2 linked regions of the Struthio camelus genome follow. The protein of the gene in region 2 purifies or fractionates together with the protein of the main gene of each other region. This does not show direct contact. Links are inferred from orthologs where the notes say so. Each region holds a gene or a part of one and is shown on either strand. Other genes may lie near its edges.

Evidence for each region.
Region 1: the proteins of EIF4A2 (region 2) and EIF4G3 purify together in Homo sapiens (affinity purification with mass spectrometry; 3 studies listed by BioGRID and IntAct, with this or other methods). This does not show direct contact. The link is inferred for Struthio camelus from reciprocal best matches to the Homo sapiens genes EIF4A2 and EIF4G3.

Annotation. Positions count from the first base shown.
Region 1 is NC_090962.1:8,959,842-8,975,004, reverse strand, and holds the start of EIF4G3 (eukaryotic translation initiation factor 4 gamma 3), read right to left. Parts: upstream 7,177-15,163; 5' UTR 7,162-7,176; coding exon 7,151-7,161; intron 6,838-7,150; exon of another isoform or gene 6,636-6,837; intron 6,576-6,635; exon of another isoform or gene 6,560-6,575; intron 3,128-6,559; exon of another isoform or gene 1,755-3,127; coding exon of another isoform or gene 1,747-1,754; intron 1,613-1,746; coding exon 1,537-1,612; intron 1-1,536. UniProt on the Homo sapiens protein: Component of the protein complex eIF4F, which is involved in the recognition of the mRNA cap, ATP-dependent unwinding of 5'-terminal secondary structure and recruitment of mRNA to the ribosome. Functional homolog of EIF4G1.
Region 2 is NC_090950.1:23,109,728-23,124,885, forward strand, and holds the start of EIF4A2 (eukaryotic initiation factor 4A-II), read left to right. Parts: upstream 1-7,813; 5' UTR 7,814-8,145; coding exon 8,146-8,174; intron 8,175-9,398; coding exon 9,399-9,444; intron 9,445-9,533; coding exon 9,534-9,666; intron 9,667-9,794; exon of another isoform or gene 9,795-9,865; intron 9,866-9,942; coding exon 9,943-10,082; intron 10,083-11,347; coding exon 11,348-11,516; intron 11,517-11,717; coding exon 11,718-11,827; intron 11,828-12,101; coding exon 12,102-12,245; intron 12,246-12,301; exon of another isoform or gene 12,302-12,480; intron 12,481-12,653; coding exon 12,654-12,791; intron 12,792-12,862; exon of another isoform or gene 12,863-12,990; intron 12,991-13,056; coding exon 13,057-13,146; intron 13,147-13,382; coding exon 13,383-13,462; intron 13,463-14,162; exon of another isoform or gene 14,163-14,262; intron 14,263-14,975; coding exon 14,976-15,120; 3' UTR 15,121-15,158. UniProt on the Homo sapiens protein: ATP-dependent RNA helicase which is a subunit of the eIF4F complex involved in cap recognition and is required for mRNA binding to ribosome.

The sequences.
Region 1 (15,163 bases), on a different chromosome or scaffold from region 2:
TCTTAAAGTGGCTTTTAACTGCTGCATGGGGCATATATAGAACGACAGAAACTGAATGACTTCTTGGGACTCTTTGTAAATTCCTGTTCTTCGGCTTTTGTTTTACATTTGTGTATGGGGGTGTGTGTGTATATATATATGTGTGTGTGTATATGATACGGAGGACAGAGTGTCCATTAGAGCAAAAAAAAACTGCTAGCAAAAATCAAAAGCCAGCCAGCAGCGCAGGTGTGTCATCTGCCGCTGTACGAGCCACAACTCTCAAAACCTTCGACTCTTTCCAGCGTTGCTCCCCAGCCTTTCCAACTTACCTGCAGGGAAATCCGCTGCTGGCCGGCCCCGAGACCATCCCAGGGAGTCCGAGTCCGTCCGCTACTGCCCGAGGCCCTGCGTTTCTTGGGCCGACAGGCCCCGGGCATCGCTCTCGTACTCAGTTCTACAAAACTTTGCCTGCCACCACTTGACAGGAGCCTGGCACATGGGAGAGGCAATTGGAAAGCTCTTCTCCAGAGCCCAAAACGAACAAGGTGCAAATCTGGAAGACTTTTTTGCCCCTTCCGGAGATGTAGCTGATAACCCCTTCGCACATTACTCATGCACACAAGGGAAAGGAGAAAACCTTGTACAGCAGCTTATGTTTTTCTATAAGCAGCTTATGGTACTGCATAAAATACAGTGAATTTCTCGCATCTACAGCCTTTCTTCCTGTTTTCCAAATAATTAAAAGCGCCGCTTAAAAGCCTTTTTTTGACATTAAAACTATTTGCACTATCCCACCAGAAAAGCAAAATATTACTTTCCCAGGGCTGTGCTGATTTAGCAAAGCTTATAAATCATACTGTGCTTCCAGCTATTACTATTTGAAAAAAAGAGAAAAGCTATGAATAAAAACAAAATGGTATCATATGCTCACAAATAAACACTGCTGCATTTCTAGGCTAAATTTCCTCGATAACAAAGCTTTATAAACAAACACGCAGGACCGGGAGCCAAAAGCACCTATCCTGAACGCTCGCTCAGTCTGCCACCAAAACATTTCTCTCGCTACATGACTCTAAACGGGGTGTTTAACAAGAAAAACAAATCTCTGGTTATTTTTCCGATAAGATACTGTTAGAGTTGTGTGGCAACTAATATATCGCATCAAGCCAGTCTTCAAGAAGCAGGAGGCAGAAGAGGGATGGAGCAAACCGCCTGACGATACGGCCAGCAACTTTTTCGATTCAGTGGAACTGAGTTAGGAAAACCCACTCTATAACGCCTGCTAATGAAAACCGCAGACCCTTACCAAAACAGGAATGGACCCAACGGTCCCGAGGCAGCATTACAAGAGCGTTTTGTTGTATCCTCTCATTTGTTCACACGCAACAAAAATGGCATTCCTCCAGAATCACTGACAACTGTTTATTTTAGGAGGCAAATCAAGTTAGTTCTTCCCCTTCCCCCCCCCCCCGCCTCTTTAAACAGACGATGATTTCCTCACTCGCTCCTTTCCAAAGCAAACCAAAGCCGGCAGGACCCGGCGCAGATACTCACAGTGCTGTACACAGCGGAGACCGTCGGCGTGAAGATCCGCTCCTCGAGGGGCTGCTGCACGGGACCTCGGGGGAGTCTGCAACACAGCGAGTTAAGGAAAACAACATCGAAGGAGGGGCCGTGCTCCAGGGGGACGGGAGCAGGGCGCAAACCGAACCCGCGGCGGCGGTGGTCACTGCAGCCAGCCACCCTCCTGGCTCGAGAAGATACACGAACATCTCCGCGCATGCAACCAGGCAGCTACGGTCCTGCGCGCTTTCCCAAAAGGAGCAAGCAGGGCTTCAGCGACCGATGCCACGGGCAAACACGGCAAGAGAAACCAAAAGCAAACAGCTCCTGGCACCATCCACGAAACCTTCCTCTTGTCACGAGAATCCCCTACCTCTGGTTTTTAAGAGTAAGGGAAAACCCAAACCCCACAAACCCGTCCCATTGAGTGAGACAAGCCCTGCTGATGAGCAGGGCATTTCTGACAAAGGCCCAGCCTGTTTTGCTAACCACGCACGAACGGCGTTATAATTGTTTCCTTGTTTGCCTCTCTTCCACCAGCAACTCCTTTCCTCATCCACCCACCAAAAGCACTTCTGAAAGGGGCTGTCAAACAGATTTTGACGTTTGGATCTGCTGGAAGGGTTATTTAAAGGGAAATTGCAGTCATCTTCCTAAATTGGAAAGATATTGTGGGAATTCGGGACAGAAAAGACTTTACAAAACAAACTCAAATCATCCAGAAGCCATTTCACTTGTGGAATAAAGCAAATAAGGGGATGCAAGAATTAAAAAATACCCCACTCGGCTAACGTTTTGTGGCCCTGGGTCCAGCACATGTCTACTCAACGCCGGACTCCCACTGCCACAGGAGCTGGGCTCAACTTGCCAAAAAACTTTCCAGTTAAAGCCGTACTCAGATTTCACGTTTTATACGTCAAGCCTCACACCCAACCCCATGGGTAAGTTAAATTTTCGGTCTGAACGAGGTTCAATCTTACAAGAGCCCTCTCTTTCCACTCCACCTGTGAACTCCAAAGAGATGCTGTTGCACAAACCTTTGCAGGACTGGGCCCAGCAGCACAGCAGCAGCAACAGCCAACCCCGTAAAGCGCTTGACAGCGACCCACGCATCAGAACCCCATCTCTTCCTTAAAACGTGCAAAACGCTTAATTTTAAGGTTGAAACGACGACTGTCCAGGTGCAAGCCGCTCTGCGTCTGCCAACGGTTTGCAGCACTCTGCGGCCGAACGGCTCCCTCTTAGACTCAGGTTTGTCTCCAATGCGCGCACCTGCCAGCTCGTGCCTAAATGGGATCACTGGCTACCAATAACCAGGTTTTAGCGGGCGTATTCGGCCCAAGGCATAAAACAAGACCAACGCTGTTTTCACAAAGCCAAATCACAACCACCTCAGCAGCTCCTGGTGCCCTGTTCAAGAAGGAAGGGCAACCCTTGCCCTCTGCGGTCACTGTACCGGGTCTGGGGCACGGGAAGGGGAGAACAGCAATGCTCCCGTTTCCCAGCCGGCCTCTTCGCGAGGACCGTTACCCGCACACGGGAACAAAAACTTCCTGTGAACCGACCAGCTCCTGCGGCCGGCCACGGGAAACGCGGAGCCGTCCTTTCTTCCAAAAGGCCACGTGCTACCGCTTTCCGTGGCCGGAGCCGAGCTCCCCGCGCAGGAGAGCGCCGTTTCCTACCTGCCATCGCCGCAGCGCCGAACCCGGACGCGTCGGAGCTGTTATCTGCCCCCGGGGACGTGAGCGACTCCCGTCGATTTCCACGGGAGCTTGTTCCTCTACCAGGGGATCAAATGAGTCCCACTGAATACGGATTGCTTAAATTTTAAAATTGCAAGCTTCTCGAGTGGAGGACGAACAATATTAGAAGTTAGTACTTACACAGCATCACAGAAGTACATAATGCTTACGGACATTTAACAGCAAAACGACAAGTAAAATCCTGGCTCCAGTGAAACGACGGGGAGACGTGCCGCAGCCTTCAGCGGAGCCAAGGCTTCGCTCTTGACCTTCGCCCTGAGGATTTTACATCCATTTCTTTTTTCGGGGAAGCACCAACAGAAAGGCAAGACTAGGGGTTAGAAACGTGCTGCAAGACACGACAAGCAGGAGAGCTGAAGGAAGATCTAAGATCAGAGCCCTGGTCTGCAACTCAGGACGGCTCCGCGGCTCACTGCCCGAGCAAGCCTGAGCAACCCCGTCGCCTACTTCGTGGAGGACGGCGACGAAGTCCAGAAAAGCAGGAAAAAGACAACGTGAAAATATTAAAAGCGGATTCTGGCTAGAGATACTCTGCGCTTGCACAGGGAGCGGGGGGATCCAGAGCAAAACCCTCACATTTTCTGCATGCCGCCTCACTGACGCCCTGTCCTCGGACCCAGCGTAACCAAAAACCACCTGGTGATGAAGAAAGAGAGGGCAGAGGCGCTGTTTCCAACTGCCACCCTTTTGTCACATCAGAGATTTCTCATCTTGAGGCAGCTCTGACACCCAATCGAAGCAAGCCGTACTTCAAAAGGTATCATTCCCAAGTTTGGAAAAACTGCTTCATCCTCAAAGAGGTTGGGATTTATTTTCTTATTTTAGAACTTATACAAACCAGGAGAAAATAATCTTCCTTGAGCAGAGCAACCCCTCTTTTTCCACCCAGGAAGAGGGCTGCCTCGAGGAACGAGCAGTTTAGATGAATTTTCAGAGTTTGGGGTTGCCGTTTAAGATCGCTTCTGGAAAGCGATAACTCTCATCAGATTAGAAAGAAACCCTGCAAGTCCTTTTTGCTAGAAGACTTGACCTGGACGTGACACCGACAGGGACAAAAATGCTTTAAATTCCAGTAACTCTTAATGAGATAGGATGGCTGGAGAAAGAGGTGATCTCCAACTTCTAACTTCTGGTGTCTACAAACACGCGCTCTGCAAAGAGCTGGGCCAGTGGACAAGATTACTGCCTCCGGCAGCTTGGCCCTTCCCCGTGGGTAGGAGTGACCACCCTCACTCCCCCTTACGTTTGACAAGGACATCCGTTTTGAGGTCACTCAGCCACATCTAGAAGACAGTGCCCCCTCAGAGCAGATCATCTTCTGGAGGCACTGCTCTCATGAAAGGGGCGATGAAGAGGTCCACAACCCGACACATGAGGCAAACTGTGCAAACGCTGCCCCCCTGCTTCCCCGCATCAGACACAGGGAAGTTTAAGAGTTAAAACGTAAAACCAGGCTGGCTCCATGGCAGAGTTTAGCTACAGTGCAAAGGAAACAGGGATATGCTGAATAATTCAGGCACCTCTTTCACATCGCTGTTCCAGTACGGCTAGATCCAATTCAGGAGGATCCTGTACTTTCCCACCTTCTCCTCCTCCCAAAAACCTTCTCATCCACTGCCATCCTCTTCAGCTGCACTTGTGCAGATCTCGGAAATGATCCATGCCAAAAAAAAAAAAAAAAACAAACAACGCAAAAACCTGGGAGAGGGGGGTTGAAAAACAAAACTAAACCCAAACCTCAAGCCATTTTCCCAGCTCCTTCCAGCAATGCAGGGAGAAAAGATGGGGTGGGCAATGAAGCAGAAGAGCAGGAACAAGTGGATGCGAAAGGGAGCCTCTTCAATCAGCTCTGCAGCTGACGGGTTAGTAAAGTGGAAACTACAGTCTCTGCTTCTTAGGCTTAATGACTCTCTACAGCTTTCCATCCTCCATCAGTGTCCAGCCAAAACTCAGAAGCAGAGTCAGAAGGACGACAGCCAGCAGTTAATACTAACTCTGGATTCTGTTCGTTGCTGCTTAGGGCTCATTAACTCATGAAACAGATATATAAAAAACCCACACAACTCAGATACTGCTGGCAGATTAATAAAAGCAAGCTCAGATGCAAGGGGAGTTCCACCTAGTCCCCATCTGGCTGCAACAGTGACTGCAAGCTGGGGAATGTGGGGAACTATTAAAGACCCAGCGGGAGAAGGAAGGCAGAGAGAGTAACATTTGCAAGCAAAATCAAATTTTTCTAAAACCCAAAAGCTGCCATGAAAGAAGGATGCTATATTTTAATTAGACAGTCATAACCACACTCTGAGGACTGTGAGAAGATGAGACTTCTCTTTAAGGCAATCAAAAAAAAAATCCAAACCAGAACTGCCTGGCAGCTGGAGTATTCAGAGGCACTGAGAAATACAGAGGACTTAAATAAAAGTCAGGAGGAATTTCTTGCAGGAATTTCCCTCTTGTGCAACGCCTGTCTTTTTGCTCTAACAATGCTACAGAACTGAAACACTGCAAGATTTTGTGCACTTTTAGATTTAGGCCACGGAGAACCGAAAAGCACGTACCAAGATCTAAAACAGGCTCTCACGGCAAGAATTTGTACAGGTTTCCCTGTTGTGCTACTGTTTCCAAGACCAAGCAGAAACAACGCTGTTGTATTTTCGTCCAAAATGGATTCATTTTCCCCAGAACGGTGCTTCTCACCTAAGCTCAGCAGCAACCATTTTATCCTTCGCATGCATTGATGGCCCCTTTCTTCACTTGCAGCTTACTGTAACAAGCAAGCATCTTTCCATGCGAATAAAAATACCCGTGAGGACCAAAGGGCACATATGCAAACCTGTATACAAAAGCATTCCACAACTAACGATTTTTATCCTTGCCCGGAAACGTAGCAAGTCTTTCACCAGCTCTCCCTAGGGTTATATAATCCCTGTGCATGTTCCCGCTTGTACAGAAATTATGTATTAAATGTCTGAAAAATGCAAGATAAAACCATCATGCAAGATTACAGAGGGGCAGGAACCTGCAAATTGCAACGCTCATCGCTCCCGCCAGCTTTCTGGTGCAAGGAACCGTGCAAACCCCTCTACGCAGGGAGGCATTTGGGCAGCAGCCAGAGCAGTTAAAAGAGCGTGCATCTCTCCTGCAGCCTCCTCTCCGTCTTAAATTCAGCTGCAACACAGGAGATGGCGATGCTAACAGCAGAAGCGCCTTGAAGCAGGTTTGGAGACTGCACGGCTAACTTAAAGGGTTACAAGGAAGGCTGCGCCGTACGCGGCGGCTCGCAGAAACTTCCTCGGCCTCAGCCCGTCCTTTGCAGCTCGATCCTACCTGGCAGCAAGCTCCAGCCTCCGCAAACGGCGTCCCGAATGAGGGATTTCTCCCCCCGGAAAGCGGAGCCTACGGCCGCGGTCGTGCCATGCAGCTGCTCCTTCTGAGCGCCTGAATCTCGCCGGCGGAGCCGAGCTCTCGCGCCGGCGGTCTTAAAGCGGTAGCGCACGGGCGGCCCGGGCGCTACCTGCAGCCCCCGCGCTCGGCTGGCCGCGCTCAGCGCTCCCGCCCCGCTTCGGTCGCAGGGGACGCGCTCTCCGACAGCGGTCGCAAAGGAGGCAGCGCCGTTAAGCTAAGACTGGCGGGCGCAGCCGGGTGGCAGGGGAGAGAAAGGCAGAGGCAAGTTTTCGGAGAAAGCCTTTGCACGTCACTCGTATCGCGGGGCAGAACGGCGACCGCTCCGCTTTCCTGCGTTCGCTGCCTCGCTTTAGCGGCGCCGAGAGGGAGCTAGCCTTACTTGGGGTAAAATCAAACCAAGCCGCGGCCTTAAGAAACAAAGAATAAAACAAACTCACCTAGAGCACATTGCGCTTGGCGAGCACGCCGCATTACAGGAAGGGCATGGAAAACTTCAGCGCTGCCTGTCGGGAGGGGAATTAAATCACGGCACAAACTCCCTCAAGCAACGCACTCTGCCGTTTGCTTCTGGCGGCCTCCCGGTCCAGAGGGACGGCTCGCTGTCCCCCAACGCGCTACCAGGCGCCGCCGCCGCAAGCCCATTTCTTTAGCGAGTGCTTCACGAATCAATTCTCCCCGCGGAATAAATTCCCCGCCTGACGGGCTGCTTCTCAGGATCCGAGGCAAGGAAACCGGGTAAGACAAACTGCCGCCTTGAAAACAAACCAACCAACCAACCAACCAACCTACCAAGTGACATGTCACATGCTGGGCATTGGGAAACGACCAGATCAAAACAGCACCATCGGCTCTCCCCGTGACGAAATAGTCACTACGAGCCCGCAAGCTTCATCCGAGGACAATTCGAGTCACAAAGCAAACAGCCCCAGACTTAGGAAACGCCAGGATTAAAGCGGCTCATGCAACCTTAACTCAGTTGCCTCGTGTGTATGTGCAGGACCGAGCCCTTAGTTTCGCAAGGGCACGCTGTCTTTCCCCTGGGACCCCTGCCTCCCTCGCTTCTTCTACCAGCTCTTACAGAAATCCAGCACCGCACAGACTTACAGAGCTAAGCAGTTCTTACTAAGAGAGACGCGAGACCATTAACTCAGGGAAATCAAACCCGACCGTGATTCAGCTACTTTGGGCAACGTCTAAAGGGTCGGGAGGAACCAACAGCCAAGGCTGCTGCTCAAGCCTCCTTCGAGCCTTTCCACTGCCTGCTCCAACGGCACATCCCAGTCCCAACACGGGCCACCGATGCACTCTGCCCGGCCACGTAACACCTTTTACAACAAAATTTAAGCCAAAAAAAAAAAAAATCAACAACACAGTCTCACTCTTTTCAGGAGCCACTCTCATTTAAAACATTTTGGAGCCACACGGCTCGACCACCGAAGCAGAACGAAGCCAGAGCGTTGCTTCAGGCCGTGCCAAACCCTGCCACACGCTCCCAGCGTCGGCCAAATAACACGTAAGGATGGAGACAAATTCAAGCGACCATGCTCTGGAGAGGTGAAATACATCGGTGGGGCTCTGCTCATCCTCGTGAGGATTAACTAGGCGCTTACCGTCTGTACGGCACGTCAGTCGAACCTCAAAAGAACGAGTCGGCCTTCTGCAGTAAAACGGTAGTTTTATTTTAGTTTTCTTCGACGGCTGCAACTTAACTCTTCCGCAGCGACCGGATGTCAAAATAAACTACGATTCAGAGCGCTGGCCGTATCATAGGTCAGCATGTAACGGAGGGCTGTTGTTTCAGTGGTTTGCATTTGTTCGTTTATTTATTTATTTATCAGAGGGGGAAAAAAGAAATAAAAATGAAGGCAGCTTTTCCTTGAATGAACACCCAGAAGAAACACTGCCAAAGTTAGCAGGAGCCATAGGTGGTGAATTCCTTAGAAAACCACGTCATCTGTATGCTAATACTTAACTCTGACATCAAGAACCTATTTCTAGTTAGTCAAATGCTTTCAAAAAACGTAAACACACAGTAACAAATGTTTTTCAAGTGGCACCCACGGGATGTATCGTGGGGATACTGCCTGAAATCACCAAGCTACGTAACAGACGAGTACATCGTTTTACCCCTATTCTTGTGGATAGATGCAAACCACACCTCAGGAGTCACTGGCTCCTAGAATTACTTATACACAAACTGAGCTTCAGGCAAACGCCATTATTAAGCTCGTTTCAACATTTTCTGGCCTAACAGAAAGATTCTCACCGCAACACGTGGAGTCACCGTTCGCGACCGAGTTGCCATTTGCCAAAGGTAAGAACATGAAGCGGATCAACAAAGTGTTGTGCGAGCCACTTTTTTAATCCCTAGTCTTACTCTGCGCATTAAACGGTAATACAGAATGCTCCAAATTGTTCATTATTTTATACTGGCAAGAAATACTTTTTAAAAGTGCACCTTTTGTTTTTGTAACAGACACGTACTTACATAAATACCGCTCGCGTTTCACACGAGCTCACTGGCTCCATTAGACACCGCAGTTGCCTCGTTTGACGTTACCGGCTGCCGGACTCCCTTTCCTTGCTCCCCGTTTGCACTAGCTGACGCTCACCGGAAACAAGGCTTGTCCATCCCTCTACCTTTGAGGTACTCTTCCTTAAAGCATCGTCTCCCAACGGCAAGCAATTTCATTACTTATCCCCACTTTAAATGAAGCTCCCCATCCTAAAACTTTTCTTGAGATTCATCTTTGAAATTCAGCTTTTTACCCAATAACGTATCATTAATCTTGGAACTAGCTTTTATATGATTCCCAAACGCTTCCTTTGCCTCCCGCCTGCCACATCAGGTCACCCATCTATGCTTACGCTGAACTGAATGGGAACAAAGCCCCAGTTAAAGAGTTTTCAAAAGAAAAGGGGCATACACATCCCAGCGCACCTCAGGCGGAAGCCGGCCTTTCCAAGGCTCCTCTGAAAACTACAGCTTGAAAGCAAAACGCGCCCTTCAAACGCTTACCGAAAAGCACCGTTTCCCTTTCCTTCTCCCAGCCCTGCCACTGCTCCTCAAGCTATTCGGATGTCTTCGCCTTTTCCATCACGAGTTAATCCTGACGGGTTTTTGATGCCTCCTGAAGAACGTTCCCCTCCGTCCGCAGTTGCACGCATTCACGTTTACGCGTATGATTGTACTCGTGCGCTTAAGGACGGCACACACCGCCTGACACACGACACAACGCTTCTTCCTGACTAAACGTGCTAAAGCTGCACTGTAGCAGCAAGCCACCATACCGTTAAAAACGCATATACTATTTATGCCCAAACCCATCTCCAAATCCCCCACCTAAAGCACTTGTTTAAACTACCCACCTCATGAAATACCTACTATTGATTTTTTTCTTCTGGCATGCATCCATTTTGCACCACCTTTTGCTCTGCACTCACCTTCCTAACGTTTGCGGGTAACATACTGCACTGCATTTTTGTATTAGCAAGGCTTTCGCAACCCCTTTAATACTAAGGCAAGAGATACCGCTTCCCATCTGGCTAATCATTAATGATGATAAACGAGATCAGACTTTCATCAGTCTTCGAGGCATTCCCGCCGCCACCCCCGTATAACACAATACTCCGCTACTTATCATCATCCGTTCCTTGCAGTCTTCAGCCCATGTGCGATACACCTCGCAGGCAAGCCAGCCAGGACCGCTAAAGTAAAACTGGGGAGGTGAGGGACAGAACAACCCAACTCTTTGCAGCAAATTATCTGCATCTCCAGCCTCCCATTCATTCCGTAATATTTTAAAATAAAAATCAGCAATATTAAGAGCACCAGCTGTAGGCAGCTGCAATAGCTACACCTGCAGACAAGCACCTAATTATCTGGAGCTCATTACTTTCAGGCTCAGTTTTGCATCTCTAAATTAAAAAGAAATGGAGACAGCTCACTAGCACGTAAATCATCCGCAGACCTCGCCTCACCCCGACGCATTTCCTTCAGCCCGTGAGCCGTCAGGAGTGAGTTATCAGGGGAGCTGTCAGCCAACATACTCGATCAGTGCAAATGCGACAAAAATCCAATCAATTATTTTGCCCAGTACAAACGCGTTTCTAAGGGCAACCTGATTTGGTTACTTAGTCTCTGTCTTTTTTGACTGCAGCTGAAGTGCCAAAGCAAAGCTCCTATTTTCAGCTTAGACCTGGCCAGAATGGGTGGGTTTTTTTTTTTTTTTGGGGGGGGGGGGGGGAATTGCATATAAACCCTGCTAATCCTGCTGGAATTTTTCTCAGAGTGCGTTTTTGGTGGGGGTTTTTAGGACAGAGAAGTAGGGCTGGTTCAGGTTGCTCTACGCAGGGCCGCGCATCACGAGCGGCAGCAGAACGACTGAACAGCCGTGCGGTTGTGAGCTTTGTCCTGTGTGTGTTTTTAACCACAGCATCTCCGGGAAATGGGTTTTCAAAGCCCAAACTGAGAGAGATTAAACCCCGGGTTGGCCTGAGCTGCAAAATATAAAGGGAAAAAATATCACAACCCCTCCCTGCCTCATGTCTGTGCCAGCTGAGGTAGCAGATAACGCAAAGTGAAGTGCCAGAAACACATCTCTGGCATGGACATCTGTATGCTTGCGCACAGAAAACTTTTCACTAGCCGACTTGCTTAAAAATAAGTCTGTATTTGTTTAACAGTGCACTTTTCTCTGCAGAACATCAAGCACTTCAATGTTTTTATTCATATTTTATTCTTACAATATATGGACTCTCAGCAGCGATGGAAAAGTCAATAGATTTCATCAACTCCCTTCAGCTGGAAATTCATGGTATTACCTCTCTAGAGGGGCAATGGCATCAAGAGGAATATGCCAATGTAGCCTTAAAATTCCATTTAATTTTAAGAGCGTTATTTATGATTGCACGTATCTGTATTAATTAAAACTCCTGTTACGCTGCAAAAAAAAAGAAAAAACTATGCTTAGGAACTTGAAAGGGACCCACTAGTCTTCCAGAGGCCTGTCCTGCTCGGTCACCGCTCCCATTGCTCAGAGCGGCTTCGAAGGTCTCCAGCCACAATCCCAAATTAAGGTACCTTTGAAGGAGACAAAAAATTTAAGGTAGAAAGGAGACAGAACAGGGGGCTCGGTGACAAGCACTGGTTGAGCCCTGGAGGCTTCTCCATAAGCTACAAGGAGGATCACGTATTGAATCATCAAGGGCCAATAGCCCAAGGAGAGATGCCAGATGAAGGCTGTGCTCCAAAATACACCAAACAAGTCTGAAGCGGAGCTGCATTATGCTGGCACAGCGTGCACCTCGTCAGCCTGCAGCATGGCCCCAAAAATTACACCCAACAGCGCCAACCAGGGAAGCTGGGCTCATGCCATGCAATATTGGGCAGTATCTCTTAAGAGTAAATGAAAGTATTACCGATCTTATCTGCCAGGCGTGTGCGACTGTGCTGCTCGAATCACTCACTAAGCCTTCCTTCGCTTTCTGCCCACTTGGGAACAACAGGTTTAGGTGGTGCGGCCCTTTACAGTCGTATATCGAAGGCAAACCTTGATTTTTGTTCCTTTGTCATCTTCAGAGGCCATACACCAAGATATAATTTCCTCTCTTAAAATATGTACAAACTGATAAATACATGTAGTCATAACAACGAGAATATATCTGTAAGCATCCTACGGCATGAACGCACACCTCTATAGATGACTCGGGTGGCTGGACGCTCTCCGAGCTATTTCTAGCTAGTTCCTAACCCAAAGGGAGGACAGACAAGACTTTGCTCTCAAGGCTCCCTGGGGTAAAGGAAGTCAGAGATAGGATCTGCAAGGACTCAGGTGGTATCAAAGCAAAATTACTGTCACAGACATGTAATCTAAATAGCACATGCCTGCAGGCAGCAGGACACAAGACAAGATATAGCAGTAAGCTGTCATCTGGCAGTGGCGCTGCCAGAGGAGGCGGTCCTGTCCTCTCGTTGCCGTTTGCCCCGTGCCAGTACAAGCACGCTCACAGCTGCTCGCTGAACCAGACCACGGATCTGATTTGGATTAAAACGAACCTTTTCTTCCAACCCTAGCTCGCCACCCAGCCACGCTAACGTCGAGGCCAGCGTAACGGAGGAGGCAGCAGGCAGACCGGACCAAGCAGCAGGGAAGGGAGCGAGACTGCTTGCTCCAGCAGAGATGCAAGTTGCACCATAAAATGCTCTTGACGCTCCTGCTAACAGCTTCCCTGAGTGCATCCGTGGCATATGACATACAAGGGAGGGCTGTATTAACTTTACAGGCAGCTGCTGAGCCTGACTTAAACAGAACTCAGTGACCCTAAAAATTACTACAATTTTAAACCACCACAAAAAATGTTGTCCCCCCCACCCAAGGTGTTTCACTCCCAAATGAGAATGCAAGCGGATGCTGTATAAGAAACAATTATCTTATAACAAAATAGTAATAGGGGGAGCCTTCAGTAACTGAATTCACAGCCTGACAGCCATCAAGAGTTTTACAAACCATAAAAGCCTTGGGACATCCATTCAAATGATGGAAGTTCAGAGAGGCTGGGAAAGGAGGAACAGGTAGACACACTACGGAAATGAGCTGAAATACTGCTGCATTACACGATACTTAATGCTCTAACTTTAGGTCGCAAAAAACTTTATTGAGACATCACTTGGCGTGAAATGAAGATGTCCTAGGTATTTCAGATGCAGCTCACGCCACATAGCTTTGGTGGTGCGGCACTGAACTAGAAGGCATCAGTTTTGTTTCCAGCTGTGCCGCTGAGCTGCAAGGTGAGGCAGCCAAGATAACAGCGTGGGCTGTAAAACATTTTCTTTGGGTAGAAGATACTGTCCACCACTCCCATGTGCATCCCACTCTGGTCTACCGGAAGCAGCATGACCCGTTTTGATATCATCTGCTCACTCACGTTAGAGCACTGGAAGCGAAAAGACCTCGGTAACATCAAGGTACTGATTGAAGCTTTAAGTATTTCTCCTTCTCAGTTATAGAAAGGCCGTCTCTTTCTCATTTACGCTCACCACTTCAGAAGAGCTGCCCATGCTAATTGGCAGGCTTGAACAAAACACCCGTTAACAATCTGGAAGTTATGAATATCAACGCAGAAATGTAAAAATCATCAAAACCAGGTAAGTAATAGGCTTTTTGGTGACCAGAGGCTGTGTTTTTTCTCCCAAAATTATTCTTGTAGTTTGGCAGCATCTACCAAATCACCTTCTGTGCTCCCAGGTGACCCAAACACCTGCACGTTCTGGCAGGAAGACAGCAGGTTTTCTACCCCAGTGCTGGAAACTCAGCAACTTATGGATTAGCTACTCTGGACACAAATATATCCCAATAAGCTGATTCCAACAGGAGAAACCTTTGCAATTTCTGATCAAGAGGCTCTTCCAGACATTCTCGCACGTCAAAGTAATCAGCATTTTAGTGGCAGCTCACAAGTCCCAACAGCTCAGCTGCTGCTTCTAATTAGAAGATTTTATGCAGCTATTCCGCCCCTGCTAGTCTCTGAAACGAGGCACAGTTCTGAAGTTTCCCTGTCACCCAAATACCGATTTTGTGGAATAAAACCACCTGTAACGTCAGCCTGCAGACTGCCTACCAACGACCTCTAGAAACGCTCTAGAACAGGACTGCAGATGCAAACACACGCACCAGCTCACCTTGCTTAACGCTGCCCTTCCCGTAGAAAGCTCCGCACTCCGTCTGCTAAAAATACCAGCTTCTGTTCATGATGCGCAGGCTCAGGGTATCAGCAACATTTATCATGCAAGTAAGTTAGTGGCTCTTACCATTTTACATGGCTCTTAAAATGCACATCTTGTGTTACCGCCACACTTGTGAAGTGACTGGATCAGTCTGGTGCCAGCCAGAAACAGCCGGGGAGAAGTCCAAGTCCTGTGGCCAAAATGCAGCAATTCCTTCATTAGTAAATGTTTCGGTGGGCAGCCAGGGGAAGAGAAAGGGCTATTTCAAAGGGTCTTGAGCTTATGGTTTAAAAGGTGATTTATTCCTCGCTTTCCAGCTCGGCTTGAGTGGCGTTTAGAAGCCTTCTGCCAGCACTTTTAGCTGAAGGGCCACATGAAAACCATTCCAGGTTACAGGGCAGACCTAGGGTCCCTGGAAAAAGGGAAAAACAAAGGCATCGCCCTTGAGGGCATGGCGCTTCCTGGCTTTTAAGGGTCAAGTTTCACGCCATTCCCAAAGCAGCCCAGCTGCTGACCACTTCTGAAAGCGGCTGTGAGCCACCCCACACCAGCCATGCTTCTGCCACCTCCCTGCCATAAGGATTAACGATCATATGACGGCAGTGACCCAACTCAGCCCGGTGATTCAACAGCAAACTATTCTTTTTTTGGCTGAGTTAAGTTTTCTGTCAATTCCACGAGCTGATTGCAATCACCAAATCCTGGCACGGGGTCCCGACGCCCA
Region 2 (15,158 bases):
TTCACAGCTGTCTTTACCCAGTAGAACAATATTAATGCCAAAGTAGCGTCAAAAAGCAGCTATCTTGAAGCAGCAGTGACTATTTTATAAATGATAAAGTCACTCTTCTACTCCTTCCTTCCTTTGCAGTATTTCCCTCTGAAAGCATGGGAGTGCGCTTGCTTGCTCATCACTCTTACTACCCTAAACAACTGATAGCTTTGTTCTTCTGCACCAGCAGTTCTGTTCATGAACACTGAAACCGAATTTCCTTTTTTAGACAGCAAGGACGCACACTTTTTCCCTCTTCTCCCTCCCCTTCTCTCTGCTCCCCTCCCCCTCCTACAGTCTTTGCTGTGCCCTCATCTTACCTTCAACAGCAGAAGAAATCCATGCTGCAGTTTTTTCCTCGGCAGCAGCTCTATGGCAACAGCAGCTCTGAGCCAGCAGTCCTTAACGGCTCTCACTTTTTTTCCTTCCATTCTGCATGAAGATACACGGTTTGTTAGCACAGCAAATTAGCAAGGACAAGTCTGATGTGATTTCAGAAGAAAATGTATTCCTGGGGATACAAAGTTGTATTCCCAGAAGAGCTGAATGTTAGCAATGCAAATGAACAGTAGTAAAGCAAATCAGATAATTCCTCTCGTGTAATGAAGATAAGCTATGTAAAATCACCTTGGTGATACTGAGCTTTGATGGCTAGCAATATGAAAAGAGAAAACTCTGAGCTTAAGATATCACATCCAAATGAGGTCCTGAAAGCTGTAAATATTTTGTCATCGTTTAACTGAGTCTTTTATTCAATATTAATGCATACATGAAATCGGTGGTTTATTTAATTCCTGCTGAAATAGAAGGAGAAATCTTAGTCTTGCCATCCATGGAAAAGTATGTATCACAGTATATTTGGAAATGATAATACAAGCTACGAAGGACAAAAAAAGCGAGCAAAGAAAAAAACCAGTAACTGGGTCGCTACTGAATATCTGTAGTATCAGCTTGCTTAGAAGTGAGGATTTTTCAGACTTTTCTACTTTTAAATTAATCAGAAAAATGGGCTATGAATGAATGCAGAATACAACAGCAAATAGCTGTGTAACACTCAGAAACACACATTATCAGAAACTCGTAAGTAAAACTAGCTAGAACCAGAGAAAACTACTTTGAATAGAGGTACACCTATTTTTTGATTGCAAAAATGCCAATATATTATAAAATAGTTACTTTCAAGACATGTAGGAAATAAATTAATCAATATATTTCTGTAACTCAATGTGAATTCTCACTGCTGGCTCCTGCTGTGTAATGAACAAAGGTTTCTTGTTAACTGCCAATCGCTATGACATGATGTGTGTTAAAGTGCATGCCCTGGATCAGCACAAGCAATGCCACATTTACTTCCGGCTAAAATAGCGTGATCACCTGCATCTTATTGGTGCTCGCACTAGTGGATGTCTTGTCCTTGGCATCAGTGGACTCTGGGAAAATCTGGGTGCAACCTGAAAGGAAAAGAATGGATTCCCTACCATCTTGCACCTTAGATATTCATTTTTGTCTCATCTGGCCTTAGACGCTCATAATGCAAAACAACATGTAATGGCATTCTGGGATGGCTTAAAGCACAAAGGATTGGGAAGAAGGACTGGCCTACAGAGGCCCCCTAACACTAAAAACTAACTACAAAGAGCAGAGCATGAAAGTTACAACGTAACGCTTTGGTAGCCCACTTGACAGCTTTAACTTCATGAGTAGGCATTTCAAGACCCAATCATGACACTAACGTGTCTTTAACACTGTAAAAGAGAAAAGCCTTAAATATTATTTTTCATTCAAAAAAAAAAAAAATCTCAAAAGGGTTGAAAAGAAATCAGTGTCCTGGTGTTTACATTGATTAACTTGTTAACATTTGCCCAGGTAGAGCCTCAGCTCCCCACGCAGCGCTGACTGCTGTAGCCAGAAGCACAGCGTGCACGGCCATCGGTCCCAGCCTCGAACAGCTTACAGTCTAAGAGATCCTGCTAGAACAGGAGATCATAGTTGCCATTTTGACAGGCAGGTGACACTAGGGCGCAAAACTCAAACCACTCATCTACAGTCTCATCCTGAGCCAGTTCCATGACAGAACCAAAACTCAGAGCCTGCAGAAATGCCTCGATTCCATTTTCTTCTAAAACTTAAGCTCAACAGAAACTTCCATTTTGTAGAAATTAAGGTTTACCCTGACGTAATACCTCTGACCTAATAGCTCACTTCATTAATGATAAAGTATTTATCTTCATTCTTTACATTTACATGTTGAAACAAGCTCTATAAACCGCAAAATACTTTGCTCTGGAGGTTAAAATATTGTGGTAAAGAAGCAGACAGAGACATCAGTTAAATTTGCTCACACAGAGGGCTGGACATGGAGAGAAAGGTCTTCTGTTCAAGAGCAATGAAATAATTTCTGTGATACCTTAATCTTGCTGTATAGAGAAGTACTTGTTTTAAATATTCTGACAATAACAGCCTGACAAGACACTCATACCTAAGTTTTCTGTGCACTCCTATATCAGTTGACAAAACGTAGCCATTTTATTGTCACTAATCTGAGACGGGCCCTCATAACTCATACCACTGCACATGAATTCTGCAAAGCACACTGTGACTGGTTTGATATCTAAGAAAAACAATTTGGATGGGAAAGGACAGAGTCATATGACTTGGTCTCATAGGCCAGAACATACAGTGTATGAATACCTATGAGGGTAGGCATATGTACAATAAAGACTAGAGATTTTCATTTTACCATAACCCTGATCCTATGAACATACCTGTATCAAAGCAAATAATTATTTTGCCTCTTTGGTGTTTTCCTCTTGGTTTGGTTCACGTGCATTAGTTCCCCCTCATAAAAACATAAACAACATTCACCTCTTATCAACGAGGAAAGGTTCTCAAAAATAAACACAGAGAAGAGGTCAGCCTGTAGCGGCTGTTCCAGAAATGAAGTGACTGAAATCAGCGCAGCAATTAAAGATCTCAAGTATCATCAGTGGATTCCAAATTGAACAACCGTGAGAATAAATAAATTACATTGATGGTTAACCAACACCAGAAGGAAAAACATGTCAATGACTTTATTTTTTCCAAAAGAATGCATATGCTCAAATTACGTTTTCTCAGAATTGGAAAAAAAATCTGTTTTTTGCACACTGCATCTAACAGAAATATGTGACATGCAGCATTTCATGGTAGTGTAGAAGTCTTCCAATTCACTTGAAAAATAAATGCAACTACAGTACTCTTTCAGGATGTTATCAGCAGCTGCCACCTGCTTAATCTCTCTAGCTTTCTTTACTCTTGCAATAGAAAGAACAAACTGCCCTGAAAGTATGCATACAACTTCTATTAAAGACTTTCTAAGCCTCCTCCCGTTACAGATCTCAATGTTTTTCAAACATCTGCCCACACGTAACCTCTGAGGCAAATACCATTACCCCCACTTTAAAGAGGGGAAAACTGAAGTGCAGACAAAGTTTTGATTTTATTCCAATAAAAATCAATGGCAAGAGTCCAATCAATATCATCTGTGCAGCTTTAGTGCTAAAATTACATGATTATGGTCACATTGGAAGTCTGGAACAGAGAAGAGAGCTAAGCTGACTCTGTGCCCTGGGCCCAGCTACAAACCTTAGTAAGAAAGAATATAACCTCTCAGTCAAGGAGAACATTCAAGACTTTAAACTATGATCACTGAGTTTTATAGCACGCAGAGGATTGAATGACTAACTACAGAAAATCATAGGAAAAAAAATGTTTTTCTCTTGCAAGTACTTAGGTTGAGATTTTACGGTGCCAACATTCTTCCCATTACCTGAATAGTTACTAAAATCACAAGACCACCATAAATGGTCCCTCTTTATAGTTTTCTTATTTAGGATTTGTTTGAAGAATTAACAGCAATTTACAAACTTCCTTTTAGAAAGGAAATATTTATTTTCTAAATTAATATTACTTTTTTTTATTAGTAGCCCAACCTAATGCTGATTGAAGGCAACAGGAAACTTCTCACGAGTTCAAAGGGCACTGGATCGAATGATAGCTATCTCCTACAAATATAAGAAATATTTAAGTTTTCTTAGTTGGCTAGATTTTTGACCCTCTGGGATATAGCTGAGATTCCCAGGTTCCACTAATCAACAAAATTATGCAAAACTGAAGCAAGGACACTCCTTGGAGACTTGCGCTCAGAAGCTATTAGGGAATAAAGGAGCACAAGCCACAAACCACCATGCACACGTTTCAGAGTCAGCCGGTAGGCAAAAGGCCCTATCCAACCCACGTCCTTCACAGGAGTCTGAATAGCTTGACTAGATTGGGCACGTGGGACAATTAAATTAAGTGGCCTAAATCCCACTGGTTTTCCATAGTGCTCGGCTCCTAAATTATTTAAGCATTTTTGAAAACGTTCCGTATTGGCCTAAAGCACAACTATTCAGCGAGACGAAACTTCTATCAGGAGAGAAAATTCCTTGTCTGGAGGTTCACTCACTTGATGAGAACATAACTGAGATTTTACAACACAAACAAGTTTGATTACAAAGAGCAGAAATATCTTTCAGCTCATAACAGAGCTGTAAAATAACTTTGCAAAAGAACAAGAAAACAAACCTAGCAGCCTAATATACTGAAAATGTCATAATGTGGATTTCACATTACATTGAGGTACTAAAGATATAAAGGAAGCCTGTCGGTGCATTAAAGTCACTGCATCTTACGAATTACTATTATTTAGTTTGTTTAGATTATGATTTCAGTAGAATGACAAAAGAGCTTAAGTTAGTAGATAATGAAACCCTATGACTGTATTTAAATAACAAGCAAGAGTCTCTTAGAATTTAGTCTTTCTCTCCTGGAGATTTTCCAGAATCCTTTGCTATTCACTCCTACGTCCGAGGAAGCATGCCTTTGCTTTTCACTCCTACGTCCGAGGAAGCATGCCTTTGCTTAGGTAGGTTCCGTTGGCAATGATGAATTGAAAGACATTACCTCTTGCTAACAACACCCTAACAGGACATGTTGATCCTCAACACGATCTGCTATGAATAACCTCTGACCATCTACAATTATTTCTCTGCCCTGCTAGTTGTGGCAGTCAAATAAGAGGTGCTATGTGCACTAACACAGGACTTGCAAATCTAGGAGAGGAACTCAGGACCTTTCCGGTTTCCAGGGGAGTACACAATGGTTTCACTGTATATTTAACTCATGGTATAAGTTTTTTGAAATGAGATTTCAGAAATTTTCTCATGTAAACAGTAACATTGCCTTTGCCAGAATATTGATGAGCAGGGACCGCTCATCTGAAGCCCAGTTTTGGGAGGTGTCATCTCCTACCGTTTTCTTTAGATACTTCATTCTTTACTTCAGTCTGCGTGAATAATGACTGGAAACCCAGCTGCTAAACCAGCCAGTCCACCTGCTACCCTGTGTTAATAAGTGTGTAATTACGTTCACTCTCACTGAAGGTCTCATGATTCACCAAGATTTGTCTTCTGTAGAGACATCCACTGAAGAATACAGCGTGCGCATATAATTGTGACCATGGATCCTAATACTGGCAGGATAGACAAAACACTGATTTAGTAACTTTTTGGTATCTCTTCTGCCTAACAATAACATGAACCTGGTCCGTAGGCAGCAAGTTTTCAGTCGAAACTGCTCTAGAAAGTTTACTAAGATTTAAAGCGAGGAGGCTATAATAAATTCCAGTATTAATCCAAGACTCTGTCTGTGATGTTACCTTTTGACACTTTTCAGTGTGATGCTTCATGTTCATAATAGACATAACCCCAGGCAGACCATGGCTACCTCCAGTCTGTACGAATACACAAACTAGGTATGAGATCAAAAATAAAACGTGTGTTTGCCCTACTATCATCAAAGAGATATTTCTCAAACACTGTGTTCACGGACAAGGTTTAAGAGTATAAAATGTTCCCAGTTTTATCTCCGGTATAGTTATGGTCATTACCAGGATGACAATCCCGGATATTTGCTATAGTGCATCACATAAAGACAGAACTGATTCAGTGTCTCCAACCCTTTGCTTATCTAAAGGTAATGAAAGCAAACTCTTTCCTTTTTTAATTTCTGTAGTACAGAGGACAAAAAAAAAAAAAAAAAACTAGACACCTAATTCTAAGATGGCAATATTGTTTCAAAAATACATTTAAAGTATGTGGAAAACGATGGCGTACCTTCCTGAGCTTCTCACACGTCTTTTTCACTTAGGTGTGCAGATATACGAAGGTCTAATTGCAATACTTAAATAATATGTATATACATTCTCTGCTTTCTTAATAAGCATTCATGATTCTTAATTCAAAAATAAGAATTGAGTAGCATTACTTCTTCCATCTGGACCCAATGTCATTTTTAATAGGAAATCTAACCATGCCTGCCCTAACTTGTGCCCTACAACGTTCTTTCTTCAGTCCATCCCGTTTCTTTGATAACTTGCGGTTTATGGCTCCACGTAATCTGCTATCATCCATTTAAAAAGACCCCCAGTTATTACTGTGGGGCTCCCTAAATTACAAATAGAAGCAAGAAGCATCCTCGATATTTTCCACCAAACGTGGGCAGAAACTTGAAAGCATTATGGTGGATCAACAGAAGAGCTATGTTTTTGTCATTCAGTTGGGATGTTGACAAATCCTGTGCTATCTCTACAGATAATACTGCCCCAGTCGAGGCTACCATAGAAAAGAGCTAATATATATTTAACCTCTCAAAGATTCTCTCTATGGATATTCTAGATAATTCCTAAAAGGCTGGGTTTTTCAAGCATTGACTCCATTTGTTCATATATAATCACTATGGAAACAACTTCAGAAGTGACACACACAAACCCATCAAAACGAAGGGAAACACTGCTTACAGCTTATATTATTTGCCTACTTAAGAAATACCGATGAACGGTAAAAACCTGATCAGTGTATTAAAAGGATCAGTATTTTTTTTTTTCTAAAACGGCCTGAAAGCAAGGAGCACGGCCACTAGCCGTGTCATTGATTCAGTCCGCACGACGACGCCTCCCCTAACGGCACGGTTCTGCTTGACTTCAGGTTGCACTAACCTTTACACGGGCCTTGACAGCATTTTTCACGCTACACCACGAGCCGCAGCACATCACCGCGCCGTGTTTTGAGCAGCAGCCTAGCGAGCACTCTGCCTCACTCCCACAAACGCTCCCCAAATAGGCCTTCAGCCCGTTTAAAAATGTTCCACTTTTAACACCCCAGAACCATCTGCATGATTCAGTCAGCTGCCGCCTCGGAGCCAGGAAGATGAAGCATCGCTGCCTGCGCCTCCCCTGCCCACAGGCGAGCCGGCTCGGCTCTGTCTGCTCACGCCGGGGGCGGTCTCCACGCAGGACCGCAGCGCTCGCGTGGGCCGGGCCGCGGCGGCAGGGAGCCGCGGCCGGGGGGAGAGGGGGGGGGCTCCCGCCCTCCCGCCGCCGGCGCCACCATCTTCCTTCCCGTCACCTCGCGGCCTCCCGCCGCCGCCGCCGCCGCCGCTCCCCTCACCGGACTGCGGGGGGGGGGGGAGGGGGAGGGCTGCGGCCTGCGTTTGGCTCCGCCGGGGAAGGGGGGGGCGGAGAGGGCGACCCGCGGCCCAGCTCCACCGCCCCGAGGAAGCCAGGTGCCCCGCGCCCAGCCCCGGGCTCCAAGACCGCTGACATGGCGGGGGAAACGCAGCGCCCACCCCGCCCCGCTCCCCCTCTACCCCGCCCCCCGGCACTGCAGCAGGGGCCGGGTGGGAAACCCCGTGCGCAGGAGCGGGAGGGGGGGGGCGGAGAAGGAGGAAGGAGGGAGACGCAGTCACTCCGTCAATGCTGCAATATCCTTCCGCGAGGAAAAGTAGTGCCAGGCTCCGGCTCACCTCTTGGCCCCGAGAGGCTCAGAAACCTCTGTGGAGGATCTCGTAAAGTGTGTCGAGGGGAAGCTCTTGCGGAGTGGCCTCAAACGGGGGTTTTTCATGGTTTTTTTCCTGTGGTGTGAGACGCATATCCATGCGCGGCGAAGAGCGAAACGAGTCCGGCAGCGGGTGGCTATATAAAGCGGCCGCCGCGGAGGCTTTGCCTTTTCAGTTGAGGACAGAGCTGGTGTTCGGAACATGTCAGGCGGCTCCGCGGATTATAGCAGGTATGGCGCGGCGCACTGCGGCCCTGGGCCCTATATTTTGTACGGTAGGTCGATGAGTTGGGAAAAGGCGGTGGGGCGGGGAAAGGAGCGAGGTGATGTAGGGGCGGGTGGCCGCGCGCGCGAGACGGGGCTCTGAGGGCGGTTAGACAGCGCCCGGCGTCTCGGCTCCTCCCAGTTCTAGATGTTTCCGTCCCGTTTCCTTTTTTCCTCGGGGTTCAGCGAGCCTTTCGTTCCTTTCCCTGGGATTCGTTTCTTCGCCGTTGGCTCTCTTGGTAGCTTTCCTCTCTCCCCCCTTCTCTTCCCCCCCTTCCCCCCCCCCCCCGAAAGGGCTATTTTTATTTTACTCCGCTCGTCGCGTTGCGCTATGGCTTAAAAAGGCAGTTTCATAAAGGTGCCTTTCCCCGAAACCTTTTTTTCTTCTTTTCTCTTTCTCTTTCCGATCCTTCCCCCGCCACCGGTTCCGCCGTTGGTTCGCTCCGGGTTGCGGGCCCGGCTGAGGGCGAGACCATTTTTCTCCGGAGGGGGGAGGGGCGCGGCCCGCTGGGCGTTCGCCCGGCGCCTTCCTCCGCTCGCTCACCGTAGCCGGTTTGCGCAATCCCAGGGGTGGAGCTCTCGCGAGAGTTCCCCGGCTCTGACGCGGCTGGGGCGGGGGGGGGGTGCGTGCCGCAGCGGAGCCGCGGGTCCCCCCCCTCCCCCCCCCGACGCCTGGCGCTGCGGCTGAGCTGGCTTATAGTGCGCAATGGCGACCGTTTCCCTGCCGCTCGCCAGAGCTGCGGAGCCCAGCATGCAGAGCCCCGCCTCGGGCGGATGCCTTCCGTGAGGGGGGCGCTGTGCACTGGGACATGCAGTTGTTGCCGTGTCGGCTAGGTTTTTATAGGAATTAATGTTCATCGGGAGTTGTGCCACGTTGTTGGGGGGGAACGGTTTTCTAAAATCGGAAATCCGCTGTGAAGACTCCCTGCGGAACGAAGGCTTTGACGATCCTGTGTCACACTGAGAACTTTGGTAGTGACTGAAGCTGACTGAGGAATTGGGCTAGTGGCACCCATGCTAGTGGGGAGAGGATAGAAGACTTTGCACTGGCGAAATATCAAAGCACCTGCTAGAAAGATCTTTCACTGGTTCCAGTGTGATGCCAACGTGGCTTTTTGGCAGCCAAAGTGCCAGCTCCCTTCCGTGTGTTATTAACTACTGTGTTCACAGTTTCTTCTTTTTTGGTGACAGAGACCATGGCGGCCCAGAGGGAATGGACCCCGATGGTGTCATTGAGGTGAGCACATGTGATCTGACTTAAGAATTTAATCATTGCTGGAGATAAGTGTGATTGTTGTAATAATTTGACTTTTTTCTTTTTTGCAGAGCAATTGGAATGAGATTGTTGACAATTTTGATGATATGAATTTAAAAGAATCCCTTCTCAGGGGCATTTATGCTTATGGTTTTGAGAAGCCTTCAGCTATTCAGCAGAGAGCTATTATTCCATGTATCAAAGGTATGAAAAGTATAATCGACTCCTTTGTTGTTAACAGCAACATCAGATAATTAGGAAAGTGTTGTAAAATGGCTATACTGTTAGCTTTCTTAGTGTGTGATGTTACTGATTTTTAATCCTTACTGAACAAGTGACATGATGGTACACCATCTTTCGGGACTGACCTGAAATGGAGAGAACTCTTTAATACTGATCACTTATTTCAAAGGGAATAAAATAAAACTAAACATGAATGACCTGTGTGGGAGCAGTAAATGTATATCCTACTTTTTTTAGGGTATGATGTGATTGCTCAAGCTCAGTCAGGTACTGGCAAGACAGCCACATTTGCTATTTCCATCCTGCAGCAGTTGGAGATTGATCTCAAGGAGACCCAAGCACTAGTATTGGCCCCTACCAGAGAACTGGCTCAACAGGTATTGATAGTGTAGTTAAAAAAAAAAAAAAAGCTGCTTGTGTGTTGCATAGGTTTCAGGTTTCACAACTGTGGGACAATTAACAGACTTCTTAAGGGGCTGTAACTAATATCCATTCAGAACCCTTTTTGTGTTGAGTGATGGGGGAAGTAAACTGGCCTCTGTCCCACAAGTTCTCTGCCTGCTTTTGAAAAGTTCAGATGCCATGCATGTGGAGGGTATTCTGGGGCAGGGTTGCAGGTACCAGCTGCTATGCTGTTTATAGTTCTGAAGGAGCATCTTCAGCAGAATGGCAAAATACAAGACATGTTATTCAAGCACAGTGTTCTGAGTGGAAACAAAATGTACTTTTTTGGAAGCTGTTTGAACTTGCGTGCAGTTGTGCAACATGAAAACTGCAGTGCGCATGTGGTCAGTTCATTGTTTTTGTAACTTGTGATGTTTTTCTGACAAATGTTATATTGCATGTTTACTTCACTCTCCCAAGACGTGGTGTTCTGTTTTACTCGGTGGAAGTGCTTGAACAAAGCTATAGGATACTGCAGTTTTTAGGATGAACTGAAAACCTAGCTTGAGTGGATTTAAAAATTAAGAGAATAGAGAATTTTCAAGAGAATTCTTGAAAGGGGACAGAACTCAAAATGGAGTAGAAAATGGATTATATACAGCTTGCTATTTTTCAACTAGAATACACTGCAATGTCCGTGTGTTAAGTGAAGATTCTCCTTAAAAGTAAAACTAAATGTACTAAATTACATATGAGCAAGAACTCTTGGGGGGGGGGGAAATAGTTTTGTGGAGCAGGAACCTCTGATCAGAATGCGTAGTTCTTATACTTTGAAGACATGGGTGAGATGAGACTTGGGTTGAAGCCTGGCATATAGCAGTGCACTTGTTCTATATGGATTTTTTTTTGCAAGTGCCTAACATGCAAGTGTTAAATGTTAAACTTTTGAGTTCATGCCTGGAGGCTGTGTTTTTTAACATAAACGAATATGCAGAGTAGTCACTTTTCTAGCTATATCAACTAGTAAGGGCCAAAATGTAACTTAAGCTTTCCCCTCATTTAAATTCTCTAATTTAGCAGCTTAAATACAAGTGATTGGACAAAATCAGTAGTAACTTTATCTTCACTGTACCTGCATTAGGGTTGCATACTCTTTTCTTTGCTCTGTTCATGTTCAAACTCCATAAGCATCACTGATACAGGGTTTAAAATCTTGACTGTACCAGGAACCACTACTAACAGAAAGCTCTTCTTTTAGATTCAAAAGGTAATTCTCGCCCTTGGAGACTACATGGGTGCAACATGCCATGCTTGTATTGGTGGCACAAATGTTCGCAATGAAATGCAGAAGCTTCAAGCTGAGGCTCCGCACATTGTGGTTGGAACTCCAGGGCGTGTGTTTGATATGCTAAACAGACGCTACCTTTGTAAGTATTGGGTTGAATTTTACTTGTAGTAACAAAGTTAGTCGTGATTAAAAATTATGAATGTCATGCCTTGAAAGAGGACTAAAGAGATGCATTTGCAACCATTGTAGAAAGTTGTCCTGGACTAATTTCGAAAGGACAGTTACTAATAGAAGTATTCAATACACTTTTGAAACTTCATGAATTTTTCTGTTTTAATAGCACCCAAATGGATCAAAATGTTTGTTCTGGATGAAGCTGATGAAATGTTGAGCCGTGGATTCAAGGATCAAATTTATGAGATTTTTCAAAAGTTAAGCACAAACATCCAGGTAAAAAACATTTTTAGTTGAACTGTTTTTATGGGTGGGGATTTAATTAGTGTAGCTGAGGAGAAGTGCTGAATTCTCCATGTCCACGTGAAAACTGTTCTGTGCTGTTCCTGTCTGCCTTGACCTTGCAGGTCAGAATCTGTGGTTTTATGTGGGTAACAGTTTTTACTGACTTTATTGTCAATGATGTCAGCATTCCTGATTGCAGGCAGAGTGACAGATCTGAAGTTGATATCCTAGGTGGTAGTTGACTAACACCGAGTATGCATTTTAGGTCGTGTTGCTGTCAGCTACAATGCCAATGGATGTGTTGGAAGTGACCAAAAAGTTCATGAGAGATCCCATACGTATTCTAGTGAAGAAGGAAGAATTGACTCTGGAGGGTATCAAGCAGTTCTACATTAATGTGGAGAGAGAGGTTTGTATCACTTGTACTTACTCTGGTTAGATGAGCTCAGACAATGAAATTCTTTCGCCTTCTTGTTAAAGCACTGTGCTAAAATTACAGAAATCAAGGCTGTGCTTTGGTTTCTGTAGTAATGCTAGTAGAGTACACGCAAGAAGAAGAAAAACTGCACTGGATCCAAAATGACTAGGGTGGACCTCTTTCTTAATGTCCAGTGTCCTGTGTCTTAAGATTTGGTGCAACAGTTGATGCAGAAACTTCTGCTTGATGTCTTGCTCAGCTTTTGGCATATTGATAAGTACTTACTGGTTCATGTTTACTTGATGATGTGGCTTTTGAGTTCTTAACTCCTTGTTGAGGATTTTTTTTTAAGTCCTGGGTTTTCAACTGCAGCTTGTTTTCTGATCTTGTTTTGTTCAGGAGTGGAAGCTGGACACTCTATGTGATTTATATGAAACGCTGACCATTACGCAGGCTGTTATTTTCCTGAACACAAGGAGAAAAGTAGACTGGCTTACAGAGAAAATGCATGCCAGGGACTTCACAGTCTCGGCTCTGGTGAGAACGGGTATTTTCATGTAACTTCTGATGTGCCATAAACATACTAATAAGTAATCTTGATGAGTGAAAAGCAGGAAAAGTTATGATATGGCTGTGCGGTGCTGTATTATCGTTCCCCCTGCTTAAAGAAAACTGCTTCCTTCTATCCCTACCTGCCTTGCTCCCACAGCAGGTAGGGACGCTGGGTTTCATACATGACTTACTTTTTAAATGATAGTCCAGTACTGGAAATACAGAAACTTCTTTTTTTTTAACTCTACAGCATGGTGATATGGATCAGAAGGAGCGGGATGTTATCATGAGAGAATTTAGATCAGGATCAAGCCGTGTCTTGATCACTACTGACTTGCTGGTGAGTATTAATCTTAGGCTGCACGCTTTTTCTGTGCTGTGCCAAAAGCTTCGTAATTCAGTGAAGGTTCTCATAGCCTGAACTAGTCGGAGCTTCTTGGAAGAGTAAGGACTACGCTCCACTATGGGCTACACAGTTGTAGTTCATCACTAACCATGTGGTCAACAAAAACATGGGGTAAATAATTTAACCTTATGACCTGTGACTTGTATTAAAGATTTTATATTGTTTTGTAGGCTCGTGGCATTGATGTGCAGCAAGTTTCATTGGTTATAAATTATGACCTGCCGACCAATCGTGAAAACTATATTCACAGGTTAGTTTGTTGCTTTTCTAGATGGTACTTTAAACTGAATGCAACTTTTTTCTACATAAATCAGCACAGAACCTCACCTATTTTCCCTTTAGTCCTTTTCGATAATAAAGGAGTGTTACACATCCATTCATAAAGTAACTGCTAAAAAGCTAGCAGAGAATAATTTTACTTGTGCTTTAAAAAGCACTGACTTGACAGTTGTGATCCTGAATTGGGGGAGGAGCAGAACTTTGTTAGACAATAAAAGCAGTGGGAAAACTTAGCTGCGCAACTAGTTCAGTGATGGCTAATCATTCATTGCTGAGATACGGGGGAATTGCCAGCTGCTGAACTGCCTTTGTCATGTATGTTGTGGTGTATGATCACAAAAATATTACATAGCATCTGGAAAGCAATGTTAGCTAGATCTGCAGGTCATAGCTAATTTTCAGTTGCTGCTGATACACTCAGTGACTAGACCAGCTAAGCAGATTAGTTGAACAGTAGAACTGACTTCACTCCTAGTGGTTTAATTGTGTTTGTGTTTTGTGTGTTGTCTTTGCTCTTGGTGGCTCCTTCTACAGTGGGATTCTTTCCTCTGTGGCGTGTGTCTTCTGGTAGCAATTCGAGTTTTTGTTTCCCTAGGTTTAGTTAACTGCTTTTAGTGACTGTCCTTAAATTAAGTAAACTGTACTTTGTTACTTGATGTAAAAAAATACAGGAGTCGATAGCAGCAGTTGATGACACAAGATGGTGCTCAGAAACGGCGTTGACGTAATTTAGGACGTGGATTCGTAAGCGGCACAGTTTGAATAAAGCGAGTCGGTATTTATATATTTCTTTTGTCATGATTATTCACTAAGTTCAAGTTTTGTGAGCCATTTTTGTGTATTTAGCTCTTGCTGAATAGGTGCTTTATTGTGCAGTCTCTACAGGAAGGTAGAACTGATGGTGGGTTGTAACTAAATTGTGATGGTGTTTGACTGGTGCTTACGCAAAAAAGTTGAGCTTGGATTTTTTTCTGTTCTTAAACTAAGTTTTCCCACTGGAAACAGTATGTTCAGTTAAAATTTGTTAGTTGAAGTGTGCTGTTCCATGATACTAGATATAGTTGGATTATGTATGGAATAGTTGCTTCTCTTTTTGAAAGACAGATCTTTTATGCCATATGCTTGGGATTGGATGCATGTGGTACAGGGCTTTAAATTTAGTGAGGGGAGGGAGACTGAACTAAGACTTCATACAAACCACAGTACCAAACATTAAATAAAGATCTTACTTTGCAGCCAAAACAGTAACCTTTTCTGCTCTACTACCTCCATAGGATGGACACTTCTTCTGTACTGTTGGCACTAACTGCTAATTTTTCTTAACCAGACAAGACTTTGGTTAGCAGCTAGTCCTGTAAATACCGCATAAACTGGCCACTGGCAGATAAATGAACAGCAGTTAATGAATGGATCTTACATTTTTAAGCATTTAAGTGCGTTAAAGTAGTTAACATGTGTGTAAATGTCTCTTCTGTTTTGTGCAGAATTGGCCGAGGCGGTCGTTTTGGCAGGAAAGGTGTGGCTATAAATTTTGTCACTGAAGAGGACAAGAGGATTCTGCGGGATATTGAGACTTTCTACAATACTACAGTGGAGGAGATGCCAATGAATGTGGCTGATCTCATTTAATCCCTGGGATGAGATGGTTTTTGAATGCAGTGCTCGCT